Linked DNA regions of Arabidopsis thaliana. The protein of the gene in region 2 interacts with the protein of the main gene of each other region in a pairwise test. Each region holds a gene or a part of one and is shown on either strand. Other genes may lie near its edges.

Region 1 (11,322 bases), on a different chromosome or scaffold from region 2:
TTCTCCGTGTGAGTTCGGATCTTAAAATGTAACTATACACGAACGCAATTGAATTTCGATCATTACTGTTAACTTTATAATATCTATACTATTACAAAGTTTACTCATAACAAAATATAATATATTTTTAAAATCTATTAAACAATTTTTATATTTTGCAAGTATATGCGAATTCATATCTAATACATTATATTATAATATATATCACAAAATAACAAAATAATCTACATTAAATTAAAAATATGAAATCTCGCACGTATGTGCGGGTCAAGATCTAGTATATTATTATTTGGAAAGTATTGTAAACAAATGACATTAGAATGCCATTAAAAAAATCTAATCATAGACCAAATTTATCCACATCATTAAAGTTATGATCCACTTCTTAATCTCGCGGGTCAAGTCATCAAACGGGTTTTCATACATTACATAAACTTTAATATCAACTAATTAGATAAGTGATTATTGAGAAAGATTTCGTAAACAATAATATCAACTAATTAGATAAGTGATTATTGAGATAGTTTTCATAATCAATAAGATTAAATATTCAGTTAAATCTTCTAACTATGGAACATATACAAACACAATATTTGATAACTGAATAGAAACAAAATCTTTGGCATCAATAACCTTCTATCATCACAAATCTTCAAGAACAATTTAAAATTTTTCTATCAAAATTAATATACTCAGAAAATAACATATTTAAAACATATTATTCTACAATTGTTTGTTGAATTTTCTAAAAACATATACTCAAAAAAACCTAATCTTAGACCATATTACTCTGTAAAACATTCTAAAGAGCGTCATTTAATTCATATAATCCCCTCCAAACTCATAAAAGTTTATAAACAATGATAAATTAATTCATCTCATTAAAGATAAACAAGTCAAATACTAATTTATGCAATTTAATTAATTGTAACGGTGTCAAAAGAATATAAACTGTTCATTCTATAAAGAAAAAATTGTAACGGGTCAACACTTTAGGCTTTAGTAATATATTTCTTTTAAACAAAAATTTTGACTGAGTAACGGGTCATAATTTGAATATTTATATTCAATTTCATGCTTTTTTTTTGAAATGTAAAATTTTATATACTTCAATAAACTTTTTCAATATTTAGTTTGGAATATTTTAAGATAGTTTTACTTGATATTTTTAAAGAATATCATCAACACTTAATAAATCAAAATTTAAAAATTTTTAAAAACTCTAATTTGCTTCTTTTTAAAAAACTTATATATTTAAAATATTTATAATAGATGGCGGGTTAAATATAATGTTTTATGATGAAATGAGTTATGATCTTTATAAGTATTTGAATATTTATATTTTTTTATTTTCTACAATTCTTTTTTTGAAATTCATAATTTTATATATTATAATAAACTTTTTAAATACTATAGTTTGAAACATTTTAAAATAGTTTGATTTAATATTTCGAAAGAATATCAAAAAATTTAAGAGTGAATTAGGTGAATAACCATATTTGCAAAAGTTATTAAATAACTAGCACTATAACATACATAATTCAGTAACTAACACATGTGGGATATGTAATTACAACCTACTCCTTATGGCAACGGAAGTGACTCCGGCGACGGTGGTGGCTCCGGCAGCGTGGTTGCTCCGGCGACGGTGGTTGCTCCGGTGACAATGGAAGCTCCGGTGACAATGGAAACCCTGACAATGGGGTGGTGGCTCCGGTGACGATGGTTGCTCCGGCGACGTTGGTTTCTCCGGCGACGGTGGTGGCTCCGGCGACGGTGGTGGCTCCGGTGACGGTGGTTTCTCCGGCGGACGATGATTGCTCCGGTGACAATGGAAACCCCGACAATGGGGTGGTGGCTCCGGTGATGGCATTTGTTCCGGTAAGGGTGGTAGCTCCGGCGACGGTGGTGGTGGTGATGATGGCGGCGACGGCGGTGGTAGTGGTGATGACGACAGCGGCGGTGGTTGTGGTGGAGATGGTTGTGATGGTAAGAAACAAGGGTATAATGACAAATATTGTAGAAAATATATCGAATATCATCCACTTTTTTTCTTTTGGTTAGTTAGTGAATTATTAAATTTTTGTAGGTTATTGATGCAAATTTCCCAAAATTTAATAGATCAAAAAGCTAAAATTATAGTTACTCTAATTTGATATTTTTACATCTATATTTAAAATATTTATAGCATATGGTGGGTTATATGTAATATCTTTTTAATAAACGGCATGTTAAGATTATATGAGGAGATAGGTTGAATAAGGTTTGACGCCTCTAAATATTTAAAAATAACAAATGATGGATTGTGTAAACAATAATTTTTAGAAAAATGTTTGATCCCTCTAAATATTTTAAAATTTGATTCTGCAAGCAATTTTAAAAATAACGAATGATGGATTGTGCAAGCAACTTTTTAATTGCGATTATAAAAATGAAAATATAAACTTCAGTCACATATAGAACTTTTTTTTTTTGTCAACGGATTTTATTTAGAGTTCAAAAGAGCCAATTGTGAGGGAAATTGTTTACAAAAGTGACATGAAGCGGTTCAGTACGAATTTTTTGTGCCAATTTGTCCGCCTTTACATTTGCAGTTCGAGAAATTAAAGATAAAGAAAATTTTGTGAATTCCTCTTTATCGGTTTTTAATTCCTCCAAATAAGTTGAAAACGCTGGTCATTCGGTTGGAGAAGACACCATCTTCACCATGTCTGAACAGTCTGTAAAAAATGCTACTTCTTGGTTGTCGGCACCAATCATACACTTCATCGCCCAAAGTAGAGCTTCGACTTCTGTATGGAGTGGAGAAAGACTTCTACGAAGATTAGCAGCTCCCATGGCTGGCGAGTCTCCATTTGATGATGTGCAAAACCACCATAATCAAGAAAACTTATAGCTTCCTTTTCAAGATCCGTCCACAAAACAACGCAAACCAGAATAAATATTATCGTGTGATATATTCTGGACCCAAATTTGTTTTTCCGATCCCATGGAACCGTTATTTTCGGAACTGAGCTCAAATTGAGCTAACTACCATGATTGTGCCTCTTTTTCTGCTAAACATAATACGTCTAACGGATCTTTATCCACATTTTCAAATATTTTTTCGTTCCTTGCTTTCCAAATATACCAGATTATCCATAGAAATGAAGATGAATCAAATTCTGAAGGTATTCTTGAAAATAAGTGATCCAAATTCGTAAAAATAAAATCCGTAGGAAAAATTCCTGGAACTGTAGAAATCTTTGAGAGAGCTCATATCTGTCTAGCCGGATGACATTGGAACAGAGAATGGTTTATTGTTTCCGTAATAGCGCCACATCTGACACATCCTGTATCACAATTTATACCTCTTCTCCGTAAATTCTCCGTGACAGGGACACAACCTGACAATGTTTGCCACAAAAAATGTCGTAACTTAGGTGGACATTGCACTTTCAAGCATGTGCTTTTAGAACGTTTATTTCAGGACCAATGAAAGATGAATTATCCTCCAATTTTTCTAACCTTGCTGTATGATAACCAGATTTAACTGTATATTTTCCGGATTTTGTGAAATGCCAACCTAGAGTATCCTCTTTTGTTGACGTACCCAAGTGCAATGCACTTATTAGCTGGACATCTTCCGGATCAAAGAGCTCATTCAAAAGATCAATATTCCAAAAATTTGACCGGCTATCTATTAAATGTTGGACTTTTAAAGATGGGTCAATAATTGAACCATTACTTATTGCTGGTCTCAGGAATTGAGCCGGAATCCACGGATCCTCCCAAACTGAGATAGATGCCCCTGAACCAACTCTTTTAATAAGTCCTTTATTAACCAGAGATCTAGCTGAACAAAGACTTCTCCATCCATAAGACGGAGAGTATAATTTTATATTTTCCAAAGAATTGGATTTTCGATAATATCTCCCTTTGAAAACCTTTGCAAAAAGAGAATCTGTAACCGTTATCAAACGCCATAACTGTTTCGATAGTATAGCTGAATTAAAATCATCTATACTCCGAAAACCTAAACCACCTTCCAATTTGCTAATACACAATTTATTCCAAGCCATCTAGTGCATACCTCTAAATTCACCATTCGAATTCCACGAAAGTCACATATAGAATTTGATATTATTATATACCAAAAATATGTTCATAATACATGCTAATAATTGCTAAACTATGTAATTAGCTCCAAAAAATCTCTATTTCAAACTAACTACCTAAGTAGTACGGTTCATGATCTGGTTAGTTGTAGTTAATTAAGCACTTATTTCTATTTATGTTTATATCAACCGTAATTAAGCACTTATAGTTACAGTTGTAGTTAATTTTTAAAAAACATAATAACTTATCGAGGGGTAAAATTGTAAAACGACCAAAAAACAAACCCTACCCTAATCTTCTTCTTCCTGCGCCGTATCCCAAAAAAAACACAGAAGAAAGAAAAAAAATTCGAACTTTTCTGAACCAAATCATTCCAAGCCTTTGCCGCTTAATCCTCGCAATCCGATTTCTAGGGTTTAGAAATTAGATTTTGGGTTTGGATCTCTTAATCATGCCGAGGCAGAATAAAGATGAAAAATTTGTTTTTGATGACGGAGAAGACGAAGACAGAGAAGATCCAGTAGCCATTACAGAAGTCGACAACGGCGAAGAAGAAGATGATGATGAAGCTAATGAAGATCTAAGCTTGAAGATTTTAGAGAAAGCATTATCGAGGCGTGATGTTGGGAACAAGCTTGATTCTGATCTCTCCTCCGATTCTGGTGTAGTTAGTACTGTGATGGTTAATGGAGTAAAGTCTAAGGTTAAAAAGTCTGAGAGTAGTAAGAAGATGAAGAGAAATAAGCTTGAAGCTGACCATGAAATTGTAAGTATGAACGATTCTCTTCTATATCTTCTTCTCATTACAGTTTCAATTATTGTCGTATTAATTGCTTTATAGATTTGAGAATCAGTAGTCTTTGATTTGCAATAGGAAAGATTGATTTGAGAATCAGTAGTGTTTAATGCTTATCGGTTTTTGTATAACAGCCTATTGTTTGGAATGACCAAGATGAAGAGAAAGTGGTGGAGGAGATAGTAAAAGGTGAAGGAGAGGATGATGAGGTTGAGAGATCTGATGAACCAAAAACTGAAGAAACAGCTAGCAATTTGGTTCTGAAAAAGCTTCTTGTGAGTTGATTGAATTGTTGCTCTTATCTCAAAATTGTGTAACTTGTTTGTGATGATGACCATTGTTGGGGTCTTGTTGTTGTTGTTGTTAGCGTGGAGCAAGATACTTTGACCCTCCTGATGCTGGTTGGGTGAGTTGTTATAGTTGTGGGGAGCAAGGTCATACAAGTTTCAATTGTCCAACTCCTACTAAGCGTAGAAAGCCTTGCTTTATATGTGGGAGTTTGGAACATGGTGCAAAGCAGTGTTCAAAGGTGCGGTTTTAAGTTTGATGGTAGACCCATGGAAGGTTTAGGACTAGTCTTATTTTACTGCATATGGTTGCTGAGTAAAGTTTTCGTTGTTTTGACAGGGACATGATTGTTATATATGCAAAAAAACTGGACATCGAGCTAAAGATTGTCCGGATAAGTACAAAAACGGGTCTAAAGGAGCTGTATGTTTAAGATGTGGAGACTTTGGACATGACATGATTTTGTGCAAGTATGAGTACTCTAAGGAAGATTTGAAGGTAACTTTGCTGATGATTTCTTTCATATACCTTACTGTTTTGTTTTTAAAAATTTAGTCAAAACAAACTCTGTTTAAACGAAAAGGAACTGATCATGACCATGTTTGGATTTATCATTTTTTTTCCTGAGTTTCCTTAACTTGAGGAGATATATCTTCTACACACAGCTGGTTTCACCTTTCTTGAGTTTCTGGTTGCTTTGCTATAAGATAGATCATATGGTAATGCTATTTTGCTGTATTTTCTTTGACCAGGATGTACAATGCTATATCTGTAAAAGCTTTGGCCATCTATGCTGTGTTGAACCTGGTAATTCACTGTCATGGGCTGTATCTTGCTACAGATGTGGTCAACTGGGTCATAGTGGACTGGTAAGTTATTGAGATTCTGATTTTGAATTATCCACACTGTGGATTGAGTTTTCCTCTCTAAACAGAATGTCATTTTAGTTAAAATAAATATGCCTAAAATGATTCTGCCACTCCAGACTCAAGTAATTTTCTCTCTAGGCATGTGGTAGACACTATGAAGAAAGCAACGAAAATGATTCTGCCACTCCAGAAAGGCTTTTTAACAGTAGGGAAGCCAGTGAATGCTATAGGTGTGGGGAAGAAGGGCATTTCGCACGTGAATGTCCGAATTCGTCGAGCATAAGCACTTCACATGGCAGAGAGTCACAAACTTTATGCTACAGATGTAATGGATCAGGACATTTCGCTCGTGAATGCCCCAATTCCTCCCAGGTAGGCTCTATCTCTCTCTACATTTGGTGCTTTGAGGTCTTCACTTCTTTCCTTTCTCTCACATGTTATGACTCACAGCGTTTCCGTTTTTCTTCATATAGGTTTCTAAGAGAGACCGTGAAACATCTACAACATCACATAAATCTCGCAAGAAAAACAAAGAGAACTCAGAACACGATTCTACTCCCCATGAGTCCAATGGAAAGACAAAGAAGAAGAAGAAGAAGAAAACACATAAAGAAGAACAGCCCCAGACTTCACCAAGGAAACGAAAACACAGAGGCGGTTGGATCACAGAGGAACCGGAAGAAGAATCTTTCCAAAGAGGAAAGATGAGAAGGCCAAAGTCTCCCATTACACCATCGGGTTATAACAGGTCACCCTCTACACATATTGGTCATAACTATAGATCGCCAAAATTCAATTCTGGTGGGCATTACCCGGGTTCTCAGTCTAGTAGGCATCACTCGGGTCCTTCACCTTCAAGGTGGCAGCCTTCTCATCAGCATCATCATCATCATCAGCATCTTCATCATCATCATCAGAATCACAGTTATGAACCTGCACCACCAAGGCATGGAAGAGCTAACCGCTATAGTGAGTTTGCAGGGAACTATGAACGGTGGTAGTATCAATTATATGATGATCAATGATCAAGGTCAAAGCTGGAGACTATCTAGCATGAAATCTATTATGCTTGATGGTGTGTTTCCTGGGATCAAAGGTAGCTTCCCTAGACCTCTTGTATTTGATTTGGGCTTTGGTGCAGCTTCTTGTTGTTTTGTTCTCTTCTCTTACACAAGTAGTTTGTTCAGTCCTCATTTACCCAAGTCACTTAGATTTTCCTTCGTTATGTTTGTTTAACTTATTATGAAGAGAATTTTGTATTTGTTATCAAGGATCATTACTATTATCATTTATATAAACTGATTCTTTATTCATCTGAAAGTGGCTGATTTTTTCTTACTCGAAATTTATCTACTTTATAAATTGGCAAAATCCCAAGTCATATCATCAACACCAGAAACAGAGTGTTTTCAAAGAAATAAACAGAGCAAAAGAGAAGATACTCCTGCACAGCGATTAATCTCCAAGTTTAAGAAAACAGTAGGAAACAAATTACCTTCTTTCATGTATTGTTTGTTGTTTACTCATAGGTTTGAGTTGTCGTGTAACTTCCACTCCAAATAGCTTTCAATGATATCTAGACCGCATAGCTCCTTCACAACCGGCATTGTAGCTGGAACTGGCAACTGAAACGCTGAACCGGAGGAACCATTCTCACCTTTCCACATACATAGCTGTTTGCGTGCTTCTTTAACAGCCTGTCTGGTAGCGCAGTGCACCGAAGCTGCCAGTAGCAACGGAGGCTCTCCCGAGGCTGCACTTACACAAACAATATGATCAAAAATGTTGATTGCATATGTTTTGCGTAGGAATGAGTGACTGACCTTTAGAAGAGAGTACGCGTTTTTCATGACATCCACCATTTAGTATCTCGACATTGAACTGTTTAGGAATGGTGTCAACTGTTGGAATCTTGTATGTCCATGTGCTATCCGTCAGAAGGAGTCCTTCTGGATCTTCTATGTACTCTTCAAGCATGAAAAACCCAAGTCCTTGAACAAAAGATCCTTCAATCTGAAGCAGAAACACACAAAACACATTACAAAAAAGATTCATTTGCTTTCTGAGGTCTCTCTTCATATATATTACCTGTCCTAAATCGACAGCGGGATTGAGACTTTTTCCACAGTCATATAAGATATCTGTCTGTAGAACTGTGGTTTGTCCCGTCACAAGGTCTACTTCAACCTATTAACACCATGAAAACACCAAAGTTACTTCATTTCTCCACTCCAATTTCAGATTTTTGAGAAAGGAAAAAAGAGCTTGCCTCGCTGACCGCAGTACCATAGTTCAGGTACTGCATGGGAGTGTCTTTTGGAGTATACAAGTCACTAGCTGATAAGTTCACGGATTGTGCATAAGCCTGAGTTTGGACATTAAAATCTTGAATCAGAATGAAGAAGCTCAATCTTTAATTCGTTGACACCAACAATAAGCAGCAAATCAAGGAAGAATACCTGAGAAATCAACTCATTCCAGGTGATTGGACCATCTGATCTTTCCATTAAAGGTTTCAATCTTTCGACTAAGGTTTCGCAGCAGAGACGAACAGCTGCGCAGCTTCCCTCGGATGTTGTGCTACCTCCTGTGAAATTTCCTTGGACCATGCTCAATGAATCTGATTGTATAACTCTTATCTTCTCCAAGAGTTCTTCCGTTCCATCGCATTGTAGCATACCAAGAGCATAACTAGTCATCTGCTTCACCTTTGTCCATAACCCTTGTCCTAGCTCGATTCCACCAATCTCAACAACAATCGTCCCATCGCTCAAAACACTTACTCTCCCTGGAGTAGCAAACAATAAAACCTCATAGATAATAGGTACTCGAGATATCCCTCGTTTTCTCCACATGTTAGACTCGTTGAACTCTCTGACAACAGAAACCCTCTCCTCAAACTTGGAAGATACGCCAACCTTATCCCACATCGAAGATAAAGTATACTCATGTGGTTCACCAGCACCATCCTTGTAGAACAGGGCTAAGCTCTCATGTGTATGGAGATTAATCTTTCTTATTGTATCAACCTCCAAAGAGAGGCTAGAGGCTATATTTTCGATGATGGCTTCAGCAATATACGTACCCTGCACGTCCCCCGGGGATCTCATGATTGCTCTGCTTAGAAGATTTGTTTTACAAAGTTTGATATCAAAAGATAAGGCGCCCCAATTGTACTTCTTTAGCGACCCTATGAGATTTGATGGAATAAACATACTAAAACCATAACTTGCCCCAGCATCAATTAGTATTTCTAGCTCCAAAGCTGTGATCTTCCCTGTAGATTTGAACCCCACACTATACGTTATCTTCATCGGATGCCTCCCACCAGTCATTATCATATCGGTCTTGCGGTTGACATAAGTTCTCACAGGACGCTGCAGTTTCTTAGCAGCAAGAGCGCACGCTGTTGCAACCTGAGACAGTAGAAAGCTTTCAGGTTTCGGTCCATTTCTTGCAGAAAGTGAGGGGAAAAAGAGGACAATTTTTGAAAACTTACTGGCATTGACTTGACAGATTTCCCTCCAAAACCTCCACCAACACGTCTGGTTATGACACGGATGTTATTTTCAGGGATGCCTAGGCAAGCAGCGACCGATGACTGTACGTACTGAGGGGTCTGTGTTGAACTATAGACTACAATGCAGTTGTCTTCATCTCCCACTGCAAGAGCTGTTTGTGTCTCCATGTAGAAGACGTATTGCGATCCGAGTCTTATCTGTTTCACATCAAAAGTTACAACGGTTGAACATATATATCTAATTTTTACAGTAAAAAAGGACTATATTACATACTTCCGAGCTGAGAATTTGGTGATCAGCTTCAGCCATTCCTTTTGATGTATCACCAACTTGTTGTGGATAAAGGAAAGGGATAATGTCAAACAGACTAGATTTCTTGACCGCGTCTTCTACAGATAAGATTGGTGGTTCCAAATCCTCTGTCTCGTATTCAACAACTGCAAGGTTTACTGCAGCATCCGCATGTCTCTGCGTATCAGCAACCTGCAAAAACAAAGTGTTGCTAAAAATGCTGCTGATGGAACTGATTCTCATGGACAAATATGATTGAACTTACCACGAAGGCGATGCATTCGCCTACACTAGTGGTGAAATCCTCTGCGAACAATTGGTCGGAGCCTAATCCAATCTTCATACCAATATTCTTTCCGCCTTTAGGAACATCCTTGCGAGAAATGACTGCAACAACTCCAGTAGGTACCAAATCGTCCTTGAAGTGAATACCTTTTATCCTAGCGAATGGCTTTTTGCTATAGATAAATGCTCCATAGAGACAGTTTGTGGGAGATGGAATATCGTCCACATAAACAGCCTCACCAGAAGCCTGAAGGGAAGCTCCAACTTTAGTAACAGGCTGACCAACTGGATTATATTCATTGTTTATAGGAACATTTTGTGAAGAAGACAACATTGGCAACGGTTTTGGTGGATCCAAGTGGTAACCATTTGAAGGTTTATCTGTAGTAGGATGGGTCATTAAGGTGTGAAGGAACTTGAAAAGGAAGCCAGGCGCCAAGCTTGACCTGTAAGCAGGATTGCTTGTACCGTCTTCAGGCACCACAACATTGCCAAGTAAGGTAATAGCCTCATACAGAACTTTGTCAGTGATTACTTTACCAGACAGGAACTCTTCGATTTCCTTACACCTAATGGCGTGTTTGGTCCCGTAAGCCCCGAAAGCCAATCTACAGTTAACTACCATTGTATCCTTCACTTCAGCCAAGAAAGCAGCATTCAGGTAAGCCAGAGCGCTTCCATGTGGACGAGGTGCAGCTCTATAGGTTTCAAAGAACAATTCAGAGTTTGTTTCAGAATGCCAAAAAGGAATTTCAATACTCAGAACCAGATCATGAGCCTCAAGAGGAGAACGTTCAAGGAACTCTTCAAGTGTTAGCTTTTCGAGTCCTCTTGATGAGCTCATTATGTTAACAAATGCACCAGCTGCAAGAAGTATTGTAGCCATATCAGAAGGAAACTGTTTCCTCTGAGCCATCACAAGGTTTCCACCAATGCTACCAAAGTTCCTGATAAATCTCGCCGCTATCATTTCCATATGAGTAGCAAGTTTTCCAAATATCTTCTCCACTCCCGGTGAGACCCTAATCTCCTTCAGAGCAGCAATAACTTTAGAGATTGTTACCACTGATCCTATCTCAACCCCATTCTGGTTTTCTCTGATCTCTTTAAGGTGCGGGATTCGAGTTATATCTATGTATTTGTCGTAATTCTGCTCTCTTTCATCTTTATAGTA
Region 2 (10,059 bases):
GTCGACGCCAACATAAATTATAATGGCAGCGAAGGAAGAAGTACAGCAGAGGTAAAGCCACATTTTGCCTCTAGTTATACAGCATAAAATCTTCCATTAGACACTTATAAGTAAAAATATTGGAATGTGTGTATGGTTTATGCAGGACGCCAATTCAAGTGGTGACGATAAGAAGGTGAAGGGGAAGCCTGCATGCACGAAGTTCACTAGAATCGATACAAATGGGACTCATAGCCTCGTCTCATGTGAACCAGTGACAGGGCGAACCCATCAAGTAAGCAATTGATTATACATAATACGGATTTTAGCAGCTGTTATACATATATAGTGGTAAAAACTCACAAAGCAACGATCTTTAGATCTTATTAGCCATGAGGATAGTGGATAGAGAGAGTTTGGCCTTTTGGGGTTTCTCATTTTGGTTTTGACGTTTGTAGATACGAGTGCATCTACAATATACAGGGCATCCCATAGCGAATGACCCTCTTTATCTCAATCAACACATAGATAATCTTGAGACCTACATTGCAAAAAGAATCGATGCGGGTGAGAGAAAGATTGTCTCCCCAGATGACTACGTGTATTCAAGCGAAGATTTCAGCATCGATCCAATGTGTACGAACTGCCCAAAGTTGATCCCACAAGGGTAAAAAAAAAAATGCTAAAACCACAACCGTGTTATTGTTTTCATCCAAATGGTGTCTCATGTTTCTAAGTTCTAACTTATGCAGATATGAGGAGCATGACGAGGCTCTCTGGTTACATTGCGTTCAATACTGTGGAACTGGATGGGAATACGAATGTCCTTATCCATCTTGGGCATCCCTTTAGCTTACAATTATTTGACACTGTAATTCTTGTTACCAACACTTGTGGCAACTGTATTGTATACATTGTTCTACAACTATGCTGATTAGTGCTTACATGGAAGGGTATCAAGTTGATTCATTGTATTCAAAGATTCTTTCATTTATCGATTCAAAGTTTTATGTCATTATCATATAAAACCGCGTACAAAAAGAGGACCAATGGAATTAGATTAGTGAGCCTAAGCTGTAGCAAAAAGATTACATATTAGATATGAAGCGACTTTTAGTTGCCTTTTATATCTTGTGTTCAACCATGTCATAATTTGATTTTCACAAGGCTATTCAAAAACTCAACAACTTGTCCTTCTTCTTCAATGAGGCATCTGGTTTGTTATGTTCATTTCTGGAACGCAAGAATCTGTCTATCAAACCCTTTGCTTGCACCGGACAAGCTTGATGTAAGATCTTCCACTGTTCTAAACCCAATCTGTGCCAAAACCAAAACACAAGTAACGGAACATGAGGATCCGATCACAGACAGGATCAAATGACAACAAAATAAGCCAAGACTAAACTCATTACACAAATAAGTTTTGAGCTAGATTTAATCTGACTCTTAATCCAACTTTGAACAACACTTAGACTATTGCATGGCAGTATAACAGAGAAGTAGAGAGTACCTTATCAAGAAGAATTTCTTGGAAACGGTCTGGTCGTAAAACAATCGTTCGGTAATTCATTGCAGTTGTCTGCATACACACAAGGCAAACAAATACTAAAACTATATATCTAGCTAACTTGCGCAATTAGAAATAAACTTGTGTATATATACACACCTCTGAGACACGACGATTGTTTTCATAAGATTTCCAAGGCTGAGGTTCCATTACAAAGATACCACCCTGAAAAGCAAAGCCAACCGTCAGTTGCGCATATGAAAAGCAAATAATGGGCACATGATTAGATATAATATAGTTACCGGTTGAAGAAGACGCCAAATCTTTGAAAATAAGGTGATTAAACCATCATCACCCCAGTTCAAATGAACCCATTTTGTCACACTCAAACTGCATCGAAAAGAACATGTCAGCATAAGAAATCCAAGACAGAGGAAGTTTTGATTGGAACTAAAAATGTGGCCCTCCTTCTAGAAAGGCTTAGTTACATAAGCTAACATAACTAGAAACCTCCTGTAAGGCTTTTCTCAACTACAGATAAAATTTCATATGCACTTTTAGGTATGAGCATTACCAAAAGAAATGGTGACTGTTCATTTGTTTTTATTCCTCCCAAATGGCAGAAACCAAAAGTACAAGTGACAAAAGGAAAGGGGTTTACCATAGAATTGTATCATAACGATTGTCGTCAAGATTTCGGGTTTGAACAAAATTCTCTTTCTGAAACGACACAATCTGAGACAAGTCTTTAGTTTCTGCACTATCTGCCTTTGCCTCGCCATTGGAGAGAGAAACAGATGGCTCCTTCGATCCATGTACTCCATCGGCACCCTCAGAACTAGATTTCTTTTCACTAGGCTTAGTAGAATTCTGCATTCTGACAAACTTCCTAAGATGCCAGTGAGCATCCTCAATGCGACCTTCAATCAAAGAAAACATAGTTCATTTAGTGCAGACTTGAATGATAATGTAGTTAAGAGTATAATTCAGTTCCTACACAAAGCAAAACTTGGAAGATATTATGACAACCAATTATAGTCTTACTTGTATCAATGTCAACTCCAAGAATGCTCCGGCAACCGAACTTTTTTGCTGAAGAAGAGCAAAACAATATCAGCTAACGACTATATAAAATTATGGATGCTGCCAGAGAGATTTCAGACACAATGGAAGTTCAATCACACTTTACTATAGCATTCTCATAAGGACAGGTATAGCTACAACAACATATCTATTACTATAATGGATGGACATAGATAGGAACAAATTATGATATTGATAAGAAGAAGATACCAATATGAATAGTCATGATGCCGCTGTTGCAGCCAATGTCAAGACAGTCTTTGCCTTCAAACCATTCCTTCTTCAACACTTTAAGCCGAGGATCCTCATCCGTGTCATTGCTTATCTAACACATTATGTTGCCAAACGAATCCAAAATCAGATACTAAACCAAAAGATGAGCAGACTATGAAGGAATTTGAAAATATACTACGAAACTCACTCGGTAGCCATAGTAGTTTCTGTAATTTCCGAAGGGATAAACTTCTTGATTCTTCTTCTTCTTGCTTTGATTACAATTTCCTTGTTGTCCTTGTTGTTGCTTCTGCTTCTGCTGTGTTGGGACTTTCTCTTCATTAGCAACTACTTTCTCAACACTCTTCTCATTCTCATTACTTCTGTTTCTCTTCTTCTTATTCTTCTTCTGATCGTTGTCCCGACCCATTTTTTTCTCACACGCGTTGATGAACAAAGCTCGCGAAGTTAGGGTTTCTTCTATGTTATCGCTATCAGCTAGATTCTTAGAATCGAAACAAAACGATTAAGTCTAAACAGAGAGATTCGACGAAGCTAGCTCCTAGAGAGGTTTTTCTTCGAGGTTAAGCGGCGCAGAGCGAGGAGGAAGAAGAAGAAGAAGAACCGAACCGCCTTTGAAAGTCCAAAAGGGTTTAACGAGTCTCATATTTAAGTAATCCTCTCTTTTTTAGTTAATACATTCTTTAAACCTATTTATGTAAATATACGAAAGTTTCCTTTTCTTTCACCGACGTGGCCAAATTAATCTTAGAGAATTAACTTTTGTTTTTTTTTGGTCAATATGCATCAAATCTAGAACAATGGAAGCTTGCGAGTTATTGTGAAATCGTGACTCGTGTTTGAAGATAATAAAAACAAAGGAACTCATCAAAATGTTGCACTTGTCATCAAATATTGTACAGAAAATCTAGAATATAATTCCCCTCTCTCTTCTGCCATACAATTCTTCAACTCATCTCTGTTAATCGAAACAACTGCAGCGTCCGATGAACCGTGTTGATGATGATAAGCTTTCCCGAAAACGGAGAAGCAGCTGCTACTTTTTTAACACCAATTTGCCTAATCAGTACGGTCTGTAGCGCATAGGCCGTCTGAACCTGGGAACTCTCCTGCACAAACCATCAACCATTGTCAATTTTATGAACAACCATGATGAATCAAACAAATGGACTTTAAAAGAGAGGATAGGCAGGTAAGGTTCTAGAACACACCCATAAGCATATGGAGGATAAAATGGAACTCCTGGCATGAATCCCCTCATCGGTCTAAAGGGACGCCCTCTTCCTCGAAATTGCCTCATTCCAGGTACATTAGTCCTCTTTGCAGATACCTGAAAATAGATTAAACAAAGTTTAGTAATGACAAATCGTAATATGGAAAATAATTAACTACATCGTATTGAACGAGTTTGCACCTTTATCTGACGACCATGTAGTTCTGACTCGTTCAAAATAAGCGAATTCTGAACAGCTTCTACTTCCACAAATTCGACATACGCAAAACCTTTAGGTTGACCAAACTTATCTGTCAGAATTGTAACCCTATTCACTGTCCCACATGATTGAAAATGCTGCTGGACTTCCTCTGGAGTACATGCATAGTCCACCTAATATACACAAAAAAACAAAGACACAGGATATCTAAAGAATCAGCTTCACAGATGGGAGATATGAAGGCTTTCTGAAATATGAAGGAAAGTTAGTTTAGCAATTACTAGAGATAAAGAAATAAACAACAAGCAGCCTCCAAATTTCATTGATACCAAAGCAATAAAACACACAAACTTTCTTTAAAAAAGATACAAACATATATGAGAAACATGTGAAAATTAATGGTGGAACAAGCCTCACATTGCCAACATATATTGAACGCGAATCCACTTCTTCCTTCTCAGCCGCACTAACACCACCTGAAGGGTCTTCATTGATATGCAACAACATAAAAGGTATTGACCCAATTAGCTAACTGACAAGACTCCACAATACTATTAATGATTTCCTTCTCATACTCAAACTCCAGTAAATTTCTAGACAGATTCATTGATTCACTAAAAGATTCCAATATGTAAACCCAAAGCAATATCATAATCAACAAGACAAGCTTTAAACCTAATCTATCAATTTAAAGGTTAATGTGAAGCTGCGCACAAAGATTCAAGATTTTACGTATCAGTTAATAAGTACAAACCTTGACTAGCACCCATATCTTTCTCAGCCTTGGCTTGCATTTCACGCAAAGCTCCAGCTTCTTCCTCAATCTCCTTAATTCGTTTCTTCATATCCTCCAAGTCCTATCAAACAATCAAAGCAAATAACAGACTAAATACAGTAAAAAATAAGAAGAGTCTCAATTGGATAAAAGTAAATTATAGATCGAAGAATCACAATACCCTAGAGCTAGAGCCAGGTTCAAGCTCCTCATCTCCGGCGGCGGCACCTTCTTCTCCGCCGTGTTCTTCGTACTCTTCCGTATCCATCTCACCTTCTTCCTCTTCTGGGATCTCTCCACCGTACACCTCATGCTCTTGCTCATCGTGCACCGGCATCTTTCTCTCTCTATATCTCTCACTCGGCGACTGTCGTTAAAGCGAGAAACAGAAGTCTCGGAATTTTAGGGCTTGAAATCGGGAAAGAAGGGAAGGTTTGTTTGTAATTAAAGATACCCAAAAAGGATACTTTCGGAATTATGAAATCTTAAGTAGATTCACCAAAAGTGGACACAAAAGTACAATCAAACCCAATGGGCTTCTCAGATTAAAACGTGACGTGTAAAGTCGGTCCCACGAAAGTTTATTGTGGTTCCCATTAGTCATTAGTGATTACGTGGCACCTCACCCATTTAACTCAGTCCAGTGGTCTGAAAATCGTTTCGCTCTCTAAAAACCAAAACTCTTATCTTCGGTACAGAGCAAATCACAGCTCCCGATGGCCGCCACGTCATCATCACCGCCGTGTAACATCTCCGCGTCCTCCCTCCTCCTCCGTCAACCTTCTCGCTCAATCCTTAAAGTGTTCGGTTTATTACCACCTGTAAGTAGGAATAACCGTAAACTCGGCCGGTTAACGGTGACCCGGTCTAATCTGGCGCAGGATTTTCTTGGTGACTTCGGAGCTCGTGACCCTTACCCGGAGGAGATAGCGAGTCAATTCGGAGATAAAGTGTTGGGATGCCAAAGCACTGAGCACAAGATTTTGATACCAAACGCATCTGTTTTGTCTCTCTCCCAGCTTCAGTGTTCCCCTGTTTCGTCTTCACAGCCTCCTTTGTCCGGCGATGATGCCAGAACTCTCCTCCACAAGGTACTTATACTATTTCTCTCTTAGTATAAAAATGTTCGAGTTTTGATTTTACAAGTTTGTTGGTTGATCAAAATATTGTGAAAATGTTATTGATTCTGCGTTTAACAGATTTCTAATCTATAAAGATAGAATTGTGACCCAAAAATATAGAAAAGCCAATGAAAATTTTAGTATCATGAGGGACATATTAGGAACAATGGTTACGAGATTAAAAAAAAATGAAATGATTAGTGTTGATAAGGCTCATGTTGGTGTTTTGGTTCACGGTTACCACTCTAATGATGTGGTACATCAATCTCAATGATTATTATGTAAACGTTTTAGGTTTTGGGATGGAGTATAGTGGATAATGAAGCGGGTGGTCTGAAAATAAGGTGTATGTGGAAAGTGAGGGATTTTGGGTGCGGTGTTGAACTCATAAACAGGATCCATAAGGTTGCTGAAGCTTCTGGTCATTACCCTTCTCTTCACTTGGAAAGTCCTACCCAAGTTCGAGCTGAACTATTTACCTCTTCTATCGGTATGTCAAATATTTGATGTTCGAGTTTGAGTTTTAATATATGGTTTCTTAAGACGGTTTGTTGGATGAATAATGCAGGAGGGTTGAGCATGAATGATTTCATAATGGCGGCTAAAATAGATGATATCAAGACTTCTGATCTTTCCCCTAGGAAAAGAGCTTGGGCGTGATCTTCTTTTCATTATTTTGGAACATTTTTGTTTGATAGTATGTAATGTATGTGATGTATTCTAAATTGTGTGTGATCGGTCTACATGTCGAGTTATATAGAAAGCATTGTCATAACCGCATAAGAGATATCACGCAACATGTCTTTGAGATTCATTCATCAATCAAAAGAAGAAAGAACATCAATCATATGGAGCACAATATAAGAAATGAGACATTATTATTAGATTAAGACATTATTATTATCATTTCTTCTTCTAGAACATTCTGGGACTAACAAAAAATTCGAAAAAACACAACTACATTTTTGCATTCTAATAGGCGGTGGTGGTTGGAGGACTAGCCATTTTGGAGCATTGGTGTTTCATCATAGGAGGGAAAAACGGGTTGGATGGAAGATTTGGTAAGCAGTTAGCTTCAGCGTCAAGGAAAGCTTTACAACAAGCAGGACCAACGCCTTCAAATTTGCCGGACATTACGGCTTGTTGAATCTCTTCAAAGCATCCCGGCAAATCCATCACTGTTGACCAACATTTGCTCAAGTCGGGACTTCCTGCCATACCGGGACTTGGTTTGAACGGATTTGGAAACGGGAACATGATTGGGGGAAACTGCGGTAGCTGAGCATTAACGGAGGCTGCGATGCATACAACTACTAGGAGAGAAACAACACTCTTGATCGACATGATGAATATTTGGGGGACTATGCAACAAGAGAAATAGATGACTTGAGTTTTGTTTGATGAGATAAAGTTATTGGCTATGAGATCCAATTTATACTGTAATTAGTTTGGCGAAACGTATTTTTAAAAGTTGCTTTCAAAATCAAATTTGTCGTTTTAATTTTGGAAGAAAATCAAAAATAGTCAAAACGTTTGATGCACATTGAATTTGATGCTGTCATATTTCTCATATGTAAAGAAATAAATCTTTCCTAACAATATGATAGGAAATAATACAAAGATGACAGAAGGGAAGCAGTAACAAATTTTAAGTCTCTTTCGTCTTTATTCATCTTGATATATATCATCTCCTAATTTTTTTTTTGAGATTTTATTTACATTCATAGCAAGAAAAAGAAAAAAATCTTTTCAATTTAGGAATTGTTTTTCTTCCAACTTTTTGGAATCCTCTATATAGTAAAAGATGTGGCAAGCCCATAATTGTTCTCATCATTTTTATTTTTCATTTATTGAATATAATATACTCATTGTCAAACACTATTAATTCCACTATCCTTATCCTTATCCTTATTATTTTTTAAACCAAACATATTTTAATATTAAATACACCATCCAAAAATAATATTTTCGGATTTCTAAATATTTAGCTTATAGAAAGATTTCTTATTTATCAAATAAATTAATTTAATCAAATTTAAATTTACTATTTCCCAAATTACTAAAAACTTAACTTTTAAAATTAAAACATTAAATTATATAGCCCATATTTTTATCCTATAAATTTCATGCAGTATACTATATAGTGTCTATCTATTCAACACAATCATAGTTTTTTCCTATAATTTGATTTAAAAAAAATCATTCTCCTCTATACATAAGAGAGTCTTTAGTGTTTAGGATATAATCCCACAATTTTTCTCAAGTATTTTTTTCTTTAATTCTACTATATATCATTATTACCAAACATTTTTAATTGCAAATACTATTTATCTTATTTTCTTAAAACTAATTTTTAAACACTCATAAAAGATTTTTAATATATAAATTTACCATTTTAATAAAAGTAAATAGTATAAAATTTACGGCAATAATTAGATAAAATTTGTTACCATTTAAATTTGAAGATATGTTTGACCCTATATGAATCTCACATATGTTCTCAAACATTTGGATTTTAGAATAAACTAGAAATGGTTTCATACGTTAAACAACTTTGTATTGGTTCTAGTTTCACTTATTTCCGTTGTCTCATCATATGCAATTGCAAGATTCAATACAAAGGTTACAGAAAGTGAAATCAACGTCATATGAACAAACAAAGATGTCAATGCATCATTTTGCTTTGAGTTCTTGAAATCATCCTCTCAAATTGCAACACTAGATGTCTGGTCTAGCCAAATTGAAATCATCATTTTGTTTTATATGGATTTTTGTTTAAAAACGAAATTAAAAATCGTAAAATTAAACCAAATAATTTATATTTTGCTTTCGATTTATGAATGAAATCAAACAACAGAAAATAGCAAGAAACAATTTTTTATTTTGATTTTCGATTTGACAAAAATTAAAACAATAAAAACTGAAGTCGTGTAAGATCTGACTCCTCCACCAAGATCTGACTCTAAGCACATTGTTTAAAAGCATCAAACCATATAATTTGTATTTAAACCACATATACAACATAATTAATCATATATATAAATCCACACTTTAATACCAAATTATAACTGAAATCATAAATATCATGTATTAATTTTTTTCATTCACTCAATGTCATTTAAACACACAATTATTATAATTTTAATCTTTTATTTTTGAACTACACTTATTTTTACAGGAACAAAAACAAATATAATTCAATTGAAATTAGTATTTTAACACTAACCAAAAAGGAAATAAATTTGACTATGAGATAAGAAGGCGGGCTTAGTTATATAATAGCAAGAAAGAATCTGTATATTTGTTGAATCAAAAATAATCAGTAACGCTTTGAGTGAAGATGATGAATGTTGCAGTGACAGCCACTCCCTCGTCTCTCTTGTACTCTCCTCTGCTTCTTCCTTCTCAAGGTCTCTCCTTTTTCTATCTTACTCTCTCGCTTACTATGAACACTTGGGGGGTTTTAAATGGGTTTAGTTGGTGAATTACAGGGCCAAACCGGCGAATGCAATGGAAAAGAAACGGAAAGGTTTGTTTTTGAAACTTCTCTTTTATCTCCTCCAAGTTTGAATTAGCTGATGAATTCTACAAGGAACTCTTTTTTGGGTTGTAACATGAACAATGAACCATGTAGGGAAAGTGTTTGATGAAATGCTTCAATGAAACTCTTACTTGTTTTGTTTTGAACTTGAATTCAAAAACACACTCTTTGGTGTGTTTTCATTTTGCAGAGACGGTTAGGGACAAAGGTGGCTGTTTCCGGTGTTATCACAGCTGGATTTGAGCTGAAGCCACCTCCATATCCTCTTGTATGTTTTCGTGAACTCGTTATCAATAGAGTTGGAAACGAGTAGATTAAAAAGACCCAGCTTTTAGGTTGAATTTTGGTTGATATATAACCTTATCATTGGATCAGATTTTGTTTAT
Region 3 (10,281 bases), about 19 Mb from region 2:
TGGAAGGTCCAACGGTATGAGAAAAACCTTTAATGGACAATTCAGGAACAGTAGCTTTCTCCACCATAAGAAGCTCATTGTCTATGAATATCACAACCACTGTTATATCATCATGAAAGAATCTCCTCACTCCTCTCTCCACTTTCTTCAAATCATCGTAATTCATCTCTCTCTTTTTCGCAGCTATGGTTATCGCTCTTCTCACCAGCCTTCTCGCTATTCCCTGTGTTTGTTTCATACATATATACAACATCAGTGAAAGCAGAAAAAACCTGAGAATTAACTTTTAGCAATCTTAGGTGGTGGCACGTACAGGACGGGGGTGTTTATTCACTATCTCTACAGCTTGCTGGTTGGTCATTTGTTCCCAGAGTCCATCTGATGCGAATATCACAAACTTGTCACTTGTTTGTAAGACTCTTGTGTAGACACAAGGCTCTGCTGATAAAACAGGTCTTTGTAGTTCTTCAGCGAGATGGAACCGCGGAAATGAAGGGTCAAGTGAGAACTCTGGGCGCTTTAAATATGCATCCCCTATTGATCTAGATACCTGCACAAATGAAACACAATATTGACTTATAGTTTGATAAGCCAAGATGACACAAAGGGTCTGTCTACTTGTGCAAAGAGCTAATCATTAATCAAGTCTCTCTTGTTTAGTGAATTGGAACCATAATAATAGCAGTTTCATAGCTTTGTTCTTATCATAGTGTCACAGGCATTTAAATATGTGATTAGAGAGCTTTGCAAACCTGAATGATGCCTTTGATGCGCCACACACCATGTTTAAGGACAACGATATGTGAATCATCAGGATGCAACGACCTAAGCTCTTGTCTAACTTCTTCCAAAGCAGCATTGTGATCACTAGTCAGTTGCTCAGCTACAATCTTGTTTGACCTATTATTATTACTACCCATGGAACCAAGCACAGCACGAGAATCACCAACATTAGCGATAAGCAAAGTCCCTTTCCAAATAACTCCAACCAAACAACAAGATCCAACAGCTGCAATCAACGGTTTCAACCCGCAAGTCCTTCGCACAAGCGTGAGAAACCCTTCCTCAGTAGCAGAAAATGCAGCTCTTAAAGCCTCCTCTGAAATACAACTCCTTTCTCTCGAAACTCCTAAAAGATCAAAACTTTAATCAATAAGCAGCTAATGAAAACCATTGTAATCCACAAAAGGAACAAGACAAAGCTACAAAAATCCAGAAACGAACAAACAGAGAGACACACAAGACAAAGATAACCTGCCAAAAAGTAGGTAGCTCACCAAAAAATGATAAAGAAAAAGTCAAGATTCACTTCACTGTTCATCAGATGCATAAAGATTTCAACTTTCTACAAAAATTATCCGATCATCAAAACCAAATCAAGAAGAAGAAACACACACAGACACAGAATATCAAAGTGGACTTAGTGTTTGACTTGAAGAACACAAAAAGAGATTTTGTTTGACTTGAAGAAGACAAAAAGAGATTAAAAAAAACTAACTCATCAAATGAGAAAAGAGATGATCAGAGATGTATCTAGAAGCTTCAGGACCACCATGACCATCGTAAACTCCGACGAAAACGGCACCGTTTCCAGTCTCGACTTGACTATGATCTTCAATAACCTCGTTAGCTTGCACAACAGCAATAGAGAAATCTCCGAAAGAATGTCTCTCGAGTTCTCTAGACCAAAGAAGGGAGTCACCGGAGGAAGAAGAGTCACCGTCGTGATCATCATCATCGTCATCATCTCTGTTCATACGACCGTATCGCCGCATAGGTCGTAAACAAAAAAGAGCCATTCTCGCTAACCAGGAGAACATCCCTCATTTGCTCTCCACGACCACGAGAATTAACTCTTTATTTTAGGTCGCCGGAGACCACACCGGAAAGAGGAATCTCGTGATTTGTTGGATCGAAAAGCTTGAAACAGGTGAAGAGAGAAAACGAGTTAACGAATCGGAGATTGCGAAAACAAAAAGCAAAGTTTGTTCCTTTTTTATTTTCGATATGAATTGAATCTTTTTAGATGAAACTGAAGAAAAAAAATGTGAGATTTTTGGAGAAAAAGGAAAAGACTTTCGTTGGTCTTCAAGAGTGAGAGAGTAGTTGAAGCAAAGTGTGAAAAATATGATTTGTGTAAATTAAAGTTGTCTCTATAAATTAAAATTAAATTCAATTGATGACGTGATTTTTGGTACGTATTACCAAGGATCTTACATCATATTTTTGTTTTTGTCGATTTATTTAGAAATAGAAGTCTAAAAACGCGTTTCTTCTTAAAAAAAGTTAAAAGCATTTGACAAACCTAAACAGAGGATCAACCGCTCAAGCTCAGGTTTCATAAACACACTCTTCATCACCAAATCCTGCCCAAAAGGCATTCCAAAATCAGCCACAAACTGGGCTTTGAGCTTGATAATATCACGCTCCTTGCGGGTGATCCCTTGATGAGGAAGTAATGGGAAACTGATTAGGTTCTACATCATGAGTTTGTGGTCTTGACTTCAAAGTTGTTGGATCATCAATATCAGCTTGGATACTATGAGATCCCAGTGGAGTCTCGTGCATATCGTTGTACTCCATGTTAACAAAAAACTGAAAAGCATCCAAATCAATCAAAGCCATCTCCACTCCATGTTTAGCCTCCTCCTTTCCAAAAACTGAAAGACATTTTTCTTCCTACAACCACAAAAAAAAACACCAACGAAGATCCAAATCAGATTGGACGATTATAGAGCAACCGAAGAAGGAAGAAGAGTCAGCGTGAAAATCGAAAACGTACCAAAAACTGTAAAGGTTATAATTGTGAGTCTTTTGACTTTGGTTTTGTACTTCAAATACTAATGTCGGATCAATGATCATCTAATCGTTAAAAATCTTCATGGTTCAAAACGAAGTGACTATTTTAAGAATATTCACGCATGGTACATGTTGTTTTATACAAACCCATTGCGCAGAGAAATAATTTTTCTTTGATAACATAGTAGATTAATTCAAATATGATGCGAATGCTTCTCTTCAAAAACTTAGCATTAGCAATGTTTCTCTTCAAAGTTCAAAAAGTTAGCAATGTATTGTTATTGTTAAGTTGCATGGGCACAATATTGTTAACGGATAATTTTACTACTGTTACATTGCATGAACATTCTACTCATAAAGTAAGACTATCATCCAACAACAAAAACCTAGATGAGATCGAAGTCCTACAATTATTCAGAAGCACAAGAAAAAGAAAAAAAAAAAACAGAACACGAAAGTAAGACAGAAAACCACGAAATTTCGATTCAACAAAAACAGAGCAAATAACAGAACAAGTGAACAACACCGTTTATCCAGTATATCCCCCGCCGGTTCCGTACCCGGTGGCACCACCACCACCAACGTGAGTGTTATGAGCGGTTGTCCGACCAGTTCCAGTGTTCCTTCCAATCGGGTCGGTCACAGCCGTGCCCTCCACAACGCGGTCGGTCAGTTGTCCCGTTCCGTGACCAGGCAGAGCCGACATCTGATGTGTCCCAGTGCCGTGTCCGACTTGTCCAGTGGTCGAGTGAGTGGCCGTCCCCAAACCTAAACCGGTTCCGGCTCCAGCCGCTTCTTTCATGGCCGCGTTGTGCTGACGCGTTTCTCTCTTCTGCATCTCAGCTTGATTGATCTTATCTTCTTTAACCTGTGTAGCCATCTGTTTCTGAACAGGGTCTCGTGTCTTCATCTTCTCCGCCTTTTGAAGACAAAACAAACCCAACGTTACACCATTTTTATTATTTTACATCAATAAATTAATAATAACCACAATTCTGTTACCTTTTCCTCCAAGGTAGCTTTGGTTTTGTCCATGCCAGATTTTGCAGAAGCTGCAATATTCGAAGCTGTTTCTTTCATCGACTGCATTTTTACCAAATCTCTCTCTTTTCCTTTAGCGAAATTCAAAGATGTTACAAAGATATCTTCTGATTACTTTTGTTTATTGTTTTGCTCACCGAGCATGTCCCATAGATATAGCCATAGGCCTCGCGTTCGTCACGATAGTTTAATATTTAATTACGTTCTTGACGACACGTCAGTGAGACGTGTCATGAAAGAAGAGGAAGAAGAGGTGGTAGGCTTTGTGTTTCAGTTATTGGTCCTACACGTGTTGGAAAGCCTTTGAGTCGTTGAGAAGATAGATGTTGACGCGTGTTAGGCTTTAGAGTTCGCCTCATGTCGGCGGTTAACCCGGTTTTGTAATCGATAGGTTAAGACAAAACAAGTATATTATTGTGCATGATATCTTAAGAGTTAAGACAAAAATAGTATGTAGCTGTAATATAAGGGTTTTAACATATCAAAGTCTTTTAACTGTGATCGGTAACTTACAGAACTCGTCGAATCTTCAGAGCTCAATACAGAATGGGCTAAAGTTTTCAAAGCGAGTCGCATAAAACAAATTGATAAAACAAAAAGAGAGAGCAAAAAGTCACAATGATAATGGAGCTAACAATGCATAATCTGTTCTCAAGAGTCTAAAGACATAACTAAGCGATTCCTGACCTGCGCAGCTCAGATTCACCATGAGCAAAATGGCATCTATCTCCATATGTACAGTTCCCTTTAGAGTACCTATCACAGATCTTGGTTTTGTAGTTGCTCCCAGGATGTGGTTTCCCTTCAGGACCACCAATCCCTTGAGGTTTCTTCACTGATCCAAGCCTCCCTATAAGCTCTCTCACCATCCCACTCGCTACATTGATCTGTTCAAATGTTCCTTCCAGCTCGATAATCTTCAAGTTTGGGTCTCTTTCATGATCTTTAATCGATAATTTTGCTCCTGTTTCACGGCATATCTGTTTGGAATGGATTCCACCTTTTCCAATGATGGCACCGGCTAAAGAAGCATCTACACTGATCTTGGAAGTAGAAGCACCAAAGATTGAAACAGGGCCTGATCCTGGATCTCCTCTCCCTGAGAATCTGCCGCCGGGACCACCAGATCCTTGCATATTTCTGGAAACTTGAGAAACCGGTGGTCGGAGATTTGTCATCTGCGCTGCAGCATTGTACCCACCGGGCACATAGTGCAAGAAGTGGCAATTGTCACCAAATGGACATCCAGAAGTGCTGCAGTACAAACCATAATGCATCAGCAAATTCATTCGAGAAAGAACAAAACGACACATCTCCAAGCTGTTGCACTATTGCTACCTTCTCGAAAAAGCTATAGCGTTTTAGTACAAAGATAATGAAAGAAATTTATAAAGTAATAAAACAGATTGTAGTCATTATGCATCACCGATGAACAACACGTTGCACAGGAGCCGAAAGACTCATGGATAGTTCAAAGATAATGCAAGAAGAACCTTACTTGAGAACAATGGTTTTATGCTGCATATGCAAAATTACAGTTTCCTTACCATCAAACAGAAGAAGAATAAACAAATTGTTTACAACGACAGCCACAAAAACAAGTTTTGGTTGATTTTGTATATTAGATTCACCAGTAGAGTTCAGTTCCAAAATTATACTCCATATAAGCTTATCATCCATTCTTAGGAGGAATCACAGTTTGTTACATTGACTTTTTAACTCGTTTAAGGATGAACAGTGCTACGTACCTGTATAACAACTATCCACTTCATTAGCACACTTTATACAGTATTACTTCTTAATTTCATGATCCAATCAGGAAAAAAAATAGATTTATAACCTGAAAAATTTAGTGCATGGCTTGGATTTGCTTCCTAAACCAGTTGAAATTGATTCCATCTCTGTTGCAAACATTAAGTGCTTTTACTTGGTTAAACTTTTCTACAATTTTCTCAATACATATCATTTGGACTTGGCACCAGTATACCATTCTGGTTTTGAAAATTTCCAGGGTTATAGAGTTTTGAAATTGAACTCAACAGCTTGAGTTGATACAGATCAATATATCAATCAAGTAAATCCAGTAATGTTGAGTGGTCACAAAGGCTAATGGGAGTTGATTGATGAATCCAATGAATATGAGAAGAAGGGTAAGCCAATAGCACAACACAAAGCAGAACAAGATACAAACTTCTCATATCAATTGTCTCCCAACTCTCAAGTAAGGTAATACCAGACTGAAGCAGAAAAAGGGTTTGCGACTAATCTCTCTAATGAACACAAAAATGAACAAAGGAACAACCTTTACGAGAGACAGAGCACACATTGCAACTAGAAATGAACAAACATAAGTGATACCAAAACATTCTCTCTTGTTGTGAAGATCTCGAATTTCTAAAACCCAATTGGAGACAATAGGAAGGAGAGGAGTGAAAGAACAAACCTTGCTTAGACCTCTTGAATCCGCCATTGGAGTTGTGAGAGGCAGCAGCTTCAGGGCGTCCTCTCTTACGAGCATCCATGTCTCGATAAGATCGATTGAATCGGAGTAGGTAGAATCGAAGAAAGATGAAATGAGATCTCAAAGTTTTGTGATATGAGCTTTGCGATTCTTATCCTTTTAAAATTCTATTGGGTTTATCATCATCATCATCATCTCCACACACACAGCTCAACAATATAAATGGGGGATAGAGGTTTGCTTAATTTGTTAATAATATAAATTAATTCGTGGAACACCAAAAGACCAGGAGACTAATTCCATTATTAATTATATGGATTACTATAAATTTAAAGTATATACATTAACATTAGAATGAATTTATGTTTTGACAATAATAGAGTTTATTTGATGAGACTGGAATCAAACTTGTACTCATGCAAGTAATAAACACCAAAAAAATATTCAACTCTGATTATTTGTACACATATTACTTTATATTTATTGTTAATTCACATCCAGTGGTTTCAAAAATAGAGAATTGTTAAATTTGCGCGTTTTAATTGTTTTATCATAGTCACATTAGTTTTAATATATTCAAAAAATACAGAAAAAATAATTTGGGTAACGAGTCATTTGTAGAAATTTTGGAAAAAAATCGTTAAGTTTGGCGCGTTTTAATTTTTTATCATAATCACAGTAATTTAAACTAAAAAGTAGTATTTTTTTCTGATAACTCTATCAATAACATTCAATCTAAAAAAAATACGGAACATATAATTTGAATAATCGATCGGTTTAAGATTGCCATTAAGATTGAACATATAATTGCCATTAAGAATTAAGATTGTCATTTTAACAAAAGAAAAATTATAAAAAATTTCTAACATCGGGTCGATAAGACGATAACCCTGATACTAATTTATTGTTAACCGTTCTTATAACCATTGAATATATTTTTTTAAAACAATAAAATAAATTGAAGTAAAGTAACCATTGAAATATTTTTAAAATTGAAGGATTCAGTGACAGGTGATTTATGTTGATCTCACTTTCCATCTTATATTCTTGCTAATTGAATCAGATTTTGAATGTTATGCTCAAAGGTCAAAAGCCTCTTCTCAATATTTACATGCTTGGTTCGATTCTTTTTACATTGTTTAGACAGGAATTGGGGATTTGAGCAAGTAAATTATTAACGATCCTGATGGCAAGCCTGATGATGATCACACAAGTTCAGAATTTTTTTTTAAAAATAGTGTTTTTACAAACAAAATTCCTAACGATTATTTTCATACATTCTGAAACCACAAATTAGAAGAATACTACTAATTGTTCATCATATATGAACAAAATCATTTTCTGGGATCCCTTAAAGCAAAACAGAAGAAAAAGAAATATTGCTAGTCATTTTTCCTAGGGGTGATGGTGTCATACATACTCACCCCAGCAGCATTGGAAGCTCATGCGAATACGGTTCTTCTCCATCTGGTTCACCAGCACAAATTATGTTGTTGTTAGTGATCTTAGTGCATGACAAATAGAAATAAACAAAGGCCGCTGTTCACATTTATTACCGCTTTCGTAATCAGAAGCATCCGTAAGCCTTGCAATGGCAGCAATAAGCGCCTGTTCATGTTCCTATATCATCCAATAACAACAACACCAAGTTTCACTTCACTGTTTCTTTCAATCGATATCTCGTCACAAAGTTCTTATCAATTATCATATCGCTCACCTTGAGTAGCTTCTTGGCCTTATCAAGCTCATGTGGATCAGGAAGGTTTGAATCAAAAACTCTCTCGACCTAATGCGAAAGATTTCGACATCAAAAACCCTTTTTGCCTAAAGAGAAACAAAATGCAGAGAGATAGAGATACCTACCTCTTTCACAAGTGAGTCTGTGTTGAACAATTCAATCTCACCGAAAAACTTCCTCCCACCACCGTTTTCCGTTGCTAAATGTTCTCTTCTTGGCTGAGTTCTTGGACCTCTCCCTCTACCACCATGGCTTAAGGTCCTTCGATTCCCACGAGTTGTTCCACCGCCATGTCCTACATTCAAAGTTACCCCATCTTCCTCTCCATCCCATCTTATATCTTTCGTTGGAATCTACAATTATATAACTAACTAACTTCAGATTCTGCTGAAAATGTTTTCATACTAGGTGGATACACTATACAAATGTTTCCCACGTAATCTTACTAATGAAAGCTACCTCCAAAAACAAATGTAACTTTACCCAAAAGACATTCTTGGCAGCATTTTCCACAAAAAACTTAAAAACCTAATAATATCAAAAACTCGTGAAGATTACCTCATTAAGATCAACCCATTCCCATGTCTCATTCACTGTGTTTATATCATATACCAACGCATGTCGACCCTGCGAGAGAACAATGAATGCATCAATTACAATATACTTAAGCTATGTTCAACGCTAAATACAGTTCCAAACTTCTAGATATATCAAAGTCATAGTATACTTTTCAACGCCTCATATGCACATTAACAGTAAACACCTCCTTTCTTCAATTCATCAAGAACTACACTATAGAGAGACTTGATTAACTAGAGAAGTCTTTCGACAAATGCCTAAACCATGATCCTAGACTAATCCAGAGTACCCCGGCTCATTCTGCCTAAACTTCCTTTTTAACTAGTGAGCTATCTAGCTAAGCGATTCGACTAGTTGCTTAGCTTTCTACACAGTTACAATCAACCTAAAGTAATTGCAATGCTCACTCACTAGAGTAACTCTGAACTATACGGTAAATTTCGATCAGGCTTTGAGGCCTTGGAGTCAGATATTCGAAGTACAGGAGACACCTCGACACACAAACATATATAATGCTGAACATATGAATTTCTGATTCAATCTCAATAAAAAGGTCTCAGCCATCAGAAGTTACCTCATTTGCATTGTATTGTGTAACTACTGCTTCATAAAAGCTGTTGTCTTCAGGCCATTTTGTCCACACTTTTCTTCCAATAAGAGCTTCCGCAGGTTCATTTGCTGATACTACACGGTTATTGAATGACTTACTTCTAGTAGAACCAATCGACGGATACTGCATGTGTATCACAAATGATATGATCAGTAAATAAACAGAAAACCATATGCAAATACAGATATCCTCTGCTTGTTGTTCTATGACCAAAGATTAAAACAAGAAGTCTTACGGATTGGAACGTCTTCTGTTTCTTCCGAGAAGCTGAAAAAGTCGGACTAGGATGAACATCGAGGGACTGATGTCTAACAACCTGGTTTCCACCTCTTGGTCTCGAATCTCTGTTGGTCCAGTTCCATCATACAACACATTATTACAAGATACAACGAAATCTAGATTCATAGCTTTACTATCACAAATGATCAGACTCGTTACCTTATTCTTTTGATAAGATCATCATTATGGACATTGTTCAACAGTTGTCGGTTTTCATCATCAGATATCCTCAATTCTTTACGTAGGTTTGTCATCACGGTTGCTTTATCCTATAAAATGAAACCATATAAGCCAAATCCTTTGTCTTTTGATGGCAAAAGGAAGAAAGAGGACTTACCCAAGAAAATTCATCAGCCTGTGCTTGAAAAGCTCTTAATACAGCAGAATAAGCTTCCTGCTCAAGTATATGAATCTGCGCTTCCATATTAATGTGTAGACCTACCATATACTTTCCATCCAAATGAAACCAACCCTTCTTCTGAAATGTAGAAAACACTTTATAACATCAATAGTTTAACAAACTACTAAATTTTCAGGTACTTCACGAAAAACATTGGCACTAATCAGATTCATGAATAATTTTGACAGTCGAGGTCTCATGAGAATGTAGGAGCTTATTGGTGGACTTATTGTATCAAGAAATTGGATAACTTTAGTTTAAGCGAATATTCGGACAGCAAAAAAAATAGACATGAGATGATCAAACAATCTAATAGAATGTGAAAAGAATATCTTAAACCCTAAGAAAGAGAATAATTTAGTAAAACCCTTTTT

What was found.
Region 1: the proteins of PABN1 (region 2) and AT3G43590 interact in a two-hybrid assay, tested with the Arabidopsis thaliana proteins (one large-scale study listed by BioGRID).
Region 3: the proteins of PABN1 (region 2) and AT5G06770 interact in a two-hybrid assay, tested with the Arabidopsis thaliana proteins (one large-scale study listed by BioGRID).

What each region holds. Positions count from the first base shown.
Region 1 is NC_003074.8:15,505,204-15,516,525, forward strand, and holds AT3G43590 (zinc knuckle (CCHC-type) family protein), read left to right. Parts: upstream 1-4,323; 5' UTR 4,324-4,549; coding exon 4,550-4,864; intron 4,865-5,028; coding exon 5,029-5,169; intron 5,170-5,261; coding exon 5,262-5,423; intron 5,424-5,521; coding exon 5,522-5,680; intron 5,681-5,934; coding exon 5,935-6,051; intron 6,052-6,189; coding exon 6,190-6,423; intron 6,424-6,524; coding exon 6,525-7,052; 3' UTR 7,053-7,371; downstream 7,372-11,322. Other genes in the region: AT3G43583 (uncharacterized protein), read right to left, coding at 1,571-1,873; AAO2 (aldehyde oxidase 2), read right to left, coding at 7,575-7,804, 7,875-8,064, 8,140-8,238, 8,321-8,416, 8,511-9,467, 9,551-9,769, 9,846-10,055, 10,129-11,322.
Region 2 is NC_003076.8:20,775,049-20,785,107, reverse strand, and holds PABN1 (polyadenylate-binding protein 1), read right to left. Parts: upstream 5,448-10,059; 5' UTR 5,349-5,447; coding exon 5,193-5,348; intron 5,094-5,192; coding exon 4,991-5,093; intron 4,912-4,990; coding exon 4,789-4,911; intron 4,722-4,788; coding exon of another isoform or gene 4,713-4,721; coding exon 4,654-4,712; intron 4,410-4,653; coding exon 4,218-4,409; intron 4,134-4,217; coding exon 4,015-4,133; intron 3,913-4,014; coding exon 3,867-3,912; 3' UTR 3,551-3,866; downstream 1-3,550. Other genes in the region: AT5G51140 (Pseudouridine synthase family protein), read left to right, coding at 1-51, 146-274, 438-646, 732-802, 932-1,005; AT5G51130 (S-adenosyl-L-methionine-dependent methyltransferases superfamily protein), read right to left, coding at 1,207-1,296, 1,490-1,558, 1,646-1,711, 1,789-1,876, 2,148-2,406, 2,531-2,578, 2,780-2,894, 2,991-3,212; AT5G51110 (Transcriptional coactivator/pterin dehydratase), read left to right, coding at 5,728-6,102, 6,427-6,622, 6,701-6,792; AT5G51105 (ECA1 gametogenesis family protein (DUF1278)), read right to left, coding at 7,105-7,476; FSD2 (Fe superoxide dismutase 2), read left to right, coding at 9,473-9,542, 9,624-9,661, 9,864-9,941.
Region 3 is NC_003076.8:2,086,426-2,096,706, forward strand, and holds AT5G06770 (KH domain-containing protein / zinc finger (CCCH type) family protein), read right to left. Parts: upstream 6,577-10,281; 5' UTR 6,363-6,576; coding exon 6,284-6,362; exon of another isoform or gene 5,755-6,283; coding exon of another isoform or gene 5,742-5,754; coding exon 5,681-5,741; exon of another isoform or gene 5,154-5,680; coding exon of another isoform or gene 5,095-5,153; coding exon 4,512-5,094; 3' UTR 4,278-4,511; downstream 1-4,277. Other genes in the region: AT5G06750 (Protein phosphatase 2C family protein), read right to left, coding at 1-223, 314-550, 753-1,129, 1,499-1,820; AT5G06755 (uncharacterized protein), read right to left, coding at 2,422-2,660, 2,742-2,862; LEA4-5 (Late Embryogenesis Abundant 4-5), read right to left, coding at 3,329-3,718, 3,802-3,888; EML2 (Emsy N Terminus (ENT)/ plant Tudor-like domains-containing protein), read right to left, coding at 7,722-7,768, 7,858-7,921, 8,019-8,087, 8,165-8,392, 8,598-8,666, 9,193-9,351, 9,464-9,572, 9,667-9,776 and 1 more.